Linked DNA regions of Ovis aries. The protein of the gene in region 1 purifies or fractionates together with the protein of each later gene. This does not show direct contact. Links are inferred from orthologs where the notes say so. Each region holds a gene or a part of one and is shown on either strand. Other genes may lie near its edges.

What was found. The genes of interacting proteins can lie anywhere in the genome.
Region 2: the proteins of GIPC1 (region 1) and SH3BP4 purify together in Homo sapiens (affinity purification with mass spectrometry; 4 studies listed by BioGRID and IntAct, with this or other methods). This does not show direct contact. The link is inferred for Ovis aries from reciprocal best matches to the Homo sapiens genes GIPC1 and SH3BP4.

The regions. Positions count from the first base shown.
Region 1 is NC_056058.1:9,615,215-9,618,122, reverse strand, and holds the end of GIPC1 (PDZ domain-containing protein GIPC1), read right to left. Parts: coding exon 2,829-2,908; intron 2,033-2,828; coding exon 1,920-2,032; intron 1,592-1,919; coding exon 1,510-1,591; intron 1,367-1,509; coding exon 1,215-1,366; 3' UTR 518-1,214; downstream 1-517. UniProt on the Homo sapiens protein: May be involved in G protein-linked signaling.
Region 2 is NC_056054.1:6,061,913-6,065,693, forward strand, and holds part of SH3BP4 (SH3 domain-binding protein 4), read right to left. Parts: intron 2,182-3,781; 5' UTR 2,074-2,181; coding exon 2,030-2,073; intron 1,475-2,029; coding exon 1,398-1,474; intron 1,107-1,397; coding exon 1-1,106. UniProt on the Homo sapiens protein: May function in transferrin receptor internalization at the plasma membrane through a cargo-specific control of clathrin-mediated endocytosis.

The DNA.
Region 1 (2,908 bases):
TGCCTTCTGGCCCAGACAGCAAAGAATCTGCCTACAATGCAGAAGACTGGGGTTCGATCCCTGGGTCGGCAACCCACTCCAGTATCCCTGCCTGGGGAATTCCATGGGCAGAAGAGCCTGGCAGGATATACAGTCCACGGGGTCGCAACGAGTCAGACAGGACTGAGCGAGTAACGCTTTCACTTTCTGGCCTGGGGGCTCTCCGGGCCACTGGGTCAGAACAGACAAGGGCCCACTGCCTCTTGCCCACTGTTCACATCAGGCCAGAGGGTGGCGGGAAGCTTTGTTCGAAAGGGAGCAAGATTTGCACCCTGAGTAGACGAAGAAGCTCCGGCCTTGCCTGGAAGCCTGGTGGCTTGCAGCCAAGAGCCTCATCAGGCGGACCGGGTGGGAGGGGGCGGGTGGCTGGGGCCAGCTCTTAATTCAATTTGGAGCCCGAAGAGGATGGATTTCAGCTGCTACATTCTTTCCCAGCCCTGACCCACCCTCCTCTCCCACCCCGAAGCCAACACACAGATCCAACAGCAGATAGATTCTTTATGTTCCAGACAGCAAATTCAGGTACAAAAGCCCACCACCATCATCCCTCCCTCCTGCCCCTTCAGTCTGGGGCTGAGCTGAGGGAGACACGAGCGGGGCTGGGGAGGGAGGGAGTTTGGGGGGGTTTCACAGCAGACTAGTGTTTCAAATGCGGAGGTAACAGACTCCACAGTGAGGGGGCTCCTCTGGGGAGATGGGGGGGGGGTGGTGGAAGAGGAGGGCATTATTGCATTTGCTGAGGGGGGGGACACACCCCCCTCCTGCATTCCCTGCATCAGGAAACTAGGGAGGTCACGACCCCCAAACAGAACCCGAGGCCCCAGGGAGATAGGAGGGACCAGTTTGGCAGCTGAGGCGGAAAGTATTGGGGGCAGGGAGGTGGGGGTGGCCACCCAATCTGGCTGGTCCCTCTCCACCGCTGTGCCTGACCCTGGCTGAGGTAGGTGGGGAGGAGGGCGGGGGTGGGGGGCTGGGCGCCCCAGCCAGGCTGGGAACTGGCGAGGGGGTGGTACCGATTGGAGGAGGGGCAGAGGCCCAGCCCCACCTCCGCTCCGCATCATCTCCAGGCTACTGAGCTGGGCCAGAGCCAGACACTGGGGTCCAGGCTACGGTGTCTCCGCCCCAGAGGCTCCCACCGGGCCTGGCCCAAGTCATCTCGAGGTCCAGCGGAAGGCCTAGTAGCGGCCAACCTTGGCGTCCCCGATGGCACCCCAGACGTCAAAGACAAACTCATCCGGGAAGGCGAAGTCACCCAGCCGTTCATCCAGGGCCTCAGCCAGCTCATCCGGGTTCCTTTTGTCCTTTCCGAGCTCCACCATGGTGGCCGCTGGAGGGGGAAGGACAGGGGAGCAGAATGGAGGCACAGATGACAGAGGGGCTCAGGGTAGACTTGGCCCCCCAGGACCTGCAAGCCCCTTTCTCCCACACTCCCACCCATCCCCAGACCCTGATGACCCCCTCCTCACTTACCCAACTCTGTGTCCCTGATGCCCATGTAACTCTCTAACAGGTCATCCACCTTCTCAATGGCCTTCTCCTCAAAGGCTGAAGGCTGGGGGCGGAAAGAGGGAAGACGACATTATAATAATGTGAATATACCTGTAATTATACTGAACGCTGAGTGCAAATTTTTTTTTACACCACTTTTGGTATAGAAACCCACGGTTCTTCCTCATGACAACCCCAAAAGTTTCACAGATTAGGAAACTGAGGTCCACTTGCCTAAGGAAGGTCCCAGAGCTGGGAGGTGGCAGAGGTGGATGGACATCCAGTGCCCAGAGGCCCTCAGCTAAGAGTGATGCTGCCACCTATGAATTTCACAGGAAAGTGGTGGTGGGGGGTGGAGCGGGGAGGGACTTAGGCTCGGCTGGCACACTCACCAGATCCTCTACTGTGGCTGGACCCCGGGATCGGAGCCGGAGGGTCCCTCGGCCAGTACCCAGCTGGGGACCGGAGCCAGGGCGGCCACCCCCTGAACGCACGCTGATCATGTCTGTGGGAGATAGGGGGATGGGGTGAGGACTGGAGAAGCCCAGTTCCAGCATGTTCTGGGCAGAAACCCAGACATCCCGGCCTCAGCCCACCCTCCACCTTCTCCAAGCTTCTGTAGGCTTTGGGGGCACTGGGGGTGGAGGTGACCCCAGGAGGGCAGGTCTCCTGACTCTGGCTTGGCGGGGTGTAGGAGGCACAGCCAGGGGCTAGGATTGGAAAAGGGCTGGGAGGCTGGAGGGGACCACTCCTGTTCCCAGGGCCGGAGGGACAGGAAGGGGATGGGTCCTGGGTCTCTATCTACTTTCCCCAAGGCCAAGGGGGTTTAGCTGCTGGGCAGCAGACCAACCCTATCTGCCTGGGGAAGTGTTTTAGACCAACCCTATCTGCCTGGGGAAGTGTTTTAGAGTCCCCCTCCCCCACGCCAGGGACCTTGAGCCCATTCCGGAGAGTTAATGAAGCTGGACAAAAAAGTAGGGGGCCTGGCACAGGGCAGCCAAGCCTGGCTTCTTGGGGCTAGGGGGTTGGCCAGGTTGGGGGCGCTTGGCTAGGCTAATGGCTCCTGGAAGCTGGGTGTGGGGGCAACTTCCTCCTTGCCTCCATCCTCCACCTGAGCTGGGCAGAGAGCCAACACCCTCTCCCAGCAGAAGGGTGGGGCTGCCCCACCCCCTTTCCCACCCGTTACCACCAGCTGGGCTTGGGCACCACCTGCTGGTGGCCTTTGGTACTGCAGGCGGGAGCTGGGGGCTGGGAGGGTGGTGGCTGCTGGCATGGGGCAGGGATAGGCGGCAGCCCCTCACCAAAGGCTTTTCGAGGCTCTGTGAGCTTCAGTGTGAAGGTGCGGCCTCGGGGTAGCTCCTTGAGCAGCCGGGCCACCTCG
Region 2 (3,781 bases), on another chromosome or scaffold:
TTTGCTGAAAATGTCGCTCTTCACCTCGGCTGACACCTTCATCTCCAGGATGAGGTGGGTCTTCACCTCCAGGGTGCTCAGCTTCACCTCCAGCACTGGGCTGATGGAGCTGCACCGGTCGCTGTTGAGCTCCAGCGGGGGGTCCAGCAGAGCCTTCATGGAGACCTGCTGCATCTCCCCGGGAGCCACGTGGCCCTCGGGCACGTGGATGCTGATGTTGGCGTCAGGCAGCTGGACGGCGCCCCCTGAGCTGTCCAGCTTACACACGATGTTCGTCTCTACCGCCTGGGTCTGGCCCCACCCAGGGCTCTGGCCCAGCAGGTCCAGGTCGTGGCAAGACCGGGCCAGCTTCCGGTGGCTCAGCCAGGCGGCCCGGAAGTCCTCGCGGCTCTGGAACTGCTCGGGGGCTGGCGATTTCAAGCCCGTGAAAAACCCTGAGGACGCGGGCGCATCGGACTTGGCCTGGAGCACGGAGAGCTCCGAGAGGCTGTAGGAACGCTTGCTTCGGAAGAAAGGGTTGTCCCGCTTGACGGGCGGCTCCGCAGGGACGCGGCCGGCGGCCGGCAGCTCATCGAAGATGTTGCCGGTGCTGTTGGTGGTCGCCGAGCTGGACTCGGTGAAGGAGGACGTCCCCGTGTCGAAGAGGAGCAAGTCCACGGCGCTTCTGGGCGTCAGCTCGTCCACGCTGGGCATCGCCGGGATGTTCCCGTTGAGAAATGGGTTCGTCTGGACTCCGCTCCAGAAAGGATTATTACTGTAGGCTTTGCTGGATTCCTTCTTGGCATCCGTCCACCCCCCGAGCAAATCGAGCTCCTTGGCGACTTCATCCGGGCTGTCTGGAAGATTGTCAATCATCCCGCTGTCGCTGAGGGTGGAGTTCCGGTAGTTTAAGGGCTGCACGTAGGAGGAGGGGATGTAGCCCATCTCCGTGGTGTTGTGCGCGTACCACCACTCCCCGCCCGACGTGTCCAGGACATACAGGTGGTCGCCCTTGGAGAACTTGAGGGTGGTGAAGTTGGTTGGGCAGTAGTCCTTGATTGCAATCACCTCCTTCGCGTTTCCAAAGGGTGTGGGATTGTCGACCAGCAAGGCACTGGGAGAAGGCACTGTGCAAGATAAAGAACAGGAGGTGAGGGTGGGCTCCCAAGAAGAGGCAGAATGTTGTCCCAAGCCACAAAGAAAAGAAGCCTGGGAAACCTTCACCCCTGACATGGAGACAACAAGCCAGGCATAATCGACAGAAACCAACCACTGAAATCTGGGGTCTGATTCACCTGGCTGATTCTCCCCAAATTCCATGACATCCCAATCACAGTCTAAGTCAGGTAGAAAGCCTCTCCACCATCCATAGAAATACAAATCAGCATGATAGAATTATCCGATGTCCTGGGTTTTACCATAAAGCAGGCTGAGTGCCAAAGTATTGATACTTTCAAACTGTGGTGCTGGAGAAGACTCTTGAGTGTCCCTGGGACTGCAAGGAGATCAAACCAGTCAGTCCTAAAGGAGATCAACCCTGAATATTCTTTGGAAGGACTGATGCTGAAGCTGAAGCTACAAAAATACTTTGGCCCCCTGATGCAAAAAGATGACTCATTGGAAAAGACCATGATGCTGGGAAAGACTGAAGGCAGGAGGAGAAGGAGGTGGCAGAGGATGAGATGGTTGGACGGCATCACAGGCTCAATGGACATGAGTCTGAGGAAGCTCCGGGAGATGGTGAAGGACAGGGAAGCCTGCAGTGCTATAGTCCATGGGGTCACAAAGAGTCAGACATGACTTATTGACTGAATGACAACTGGGGTTTTGAACATCTCCTTTTAACTGGACTTTTCTTGATTCAACTAACTTACTGGGACTGCTGCTAAGTCAAAAGAGAAGTTGAAAATGATTTAGAAAAACAGTGTTAAATGACCCAATGCGTGTAACCAAAGACCAGGAAAGCCCTCCAGCAGAAATCTCTTTGTGTCTAAAAACCATTTCCACTCTCTCCCTTCCAAATAAAATACATAAACCGAGGGGAACGTACCCTTGATAATCAGACCCGTTTCCTTGTTCCCAAGTTGAACCCATTTTTCATCAAACTGTTTATATGAAATAAGATTTTTGAGTCGGGTCTCTTTCAGCCTCTTTTAAACAATCGTTCAGAAGAACACCATGAAATCATTTCTCTCTCATCCCCTGAAAATTAAAGGTTGAGGTTCGGTCATAATTCACGTTCTTTTGAACAACTCTTTAAGCAATCTGAAAAAATGCCAACACTTTAAACAACTGACTCAAGCTAATTTATGGCTCTTGGTGTCCAACTATGTGTTACCAATGTAGACAGCAATTGAAACAGCAGAAAAAGAAAGTCATCTAAACAAGTAGGATGTGTTTTGAAAAATAACGGATAATTAAAAACCTCCCATAGGCGACAAAGTACATATACCTAAGTAGAGGATTAGGGTTAAGAGGATGAACACATTTCTTTCTGATGGAAATAACCCCATATGTTGGCCCCCTTCCTCACCCCAGCTGTGCCTTGTTTTACAGAGTTTGCTGCCTTCCTGTTACAGATAAATGAAAGCAGATTTTCTTAGTTGTCTTAAATGAACAAGCAAAGACAGGACATTTTTAGTGGAATTACACTTTCATCTTGTCTAATGTATGACTAAGTCAACAGATATACTAGTCTATCAAATCGGCAGTCCTGCCAAAAAAATTCACCTGCCCATTTCCCTTTCCTAAAGAAAATAAAAATAAATTAAACTGTATAAAGGAAATGATAATGAATTATATTGTATTTCTTCAGCAAAGTCTCAGGAAATAAGGTAGGAAGTTTCTATTTATTGACACTAACTAAATTACAGAGATATGCTTGGCAGGGTGTGTACCTGGGCCTTGGGGAGGCTGTCACCTACCACCAAGTCTGGAGTGTCAGAGAAAATCTGGCTCTGGGATCATCAGACCTGGGCTTTTAATCTGCACCCTTAGGGCTTCCCTGTGGCTCAGCTGGTAAAAGAAACCATCTGCAATGCGGGAGACCTGGGTTCGCTCCCTGGGTTGGGAAGATCCCCTGGAGAGGGGAACAGCTACACACTCCAGTATTCTGGCCTGGAGAATTCCACAGACTGTGTAGTCCAGGAGGTCACAAAGAACTGGATTATGACTGAGCAACTTCTTTCCCTTTCACTTTAGCAGCTGTGGGATCTCTGGAGCCTGGGATTGTTCATGATGGATAAACATCTATCCTCAGTGGGCTCTGGTAAGGATTAAATGAGATGATGCTGATGAAGTGACGGAAATAATGATGCTTAGTCCAAGCAAAGGACTCACAAAACCGATGAACTTATAGTTACTGCAGGGAAGGGACAGTTAGGGAGTTTGGGATGGACATGTACATGCTGCTATGTTTAAAATGGATAACCAACAAGGACCAACTGTATAGTACTGAGAACTCCGCTCCATGTTATGTGACAGCCTGGATGGGAGGGGAGTTCAGGGCAGAATGGATACACGTATATGTCTGGCTGAGTCCCTTTGCTGTTCACCTGAAACTATCACATTGTTAATCAGCTATCCCCGATACAAAATAAAAAGTTTAAAAATTAAATAAAGCAATAAACATCTCGAGCCCCCTCCTAATTTAATTTTTCTCCATAGCATTTATCATCAACCAATACAAAATGTCCCTACATATTTATTTTGGTTTTGGGGGGAGGGTTCCATTGCCCCACTAGGCTGTATGCTCTGTTAGGGTATGTCTTGCTCACAGTAGTTGCTTACAGCAGAGAAGCAA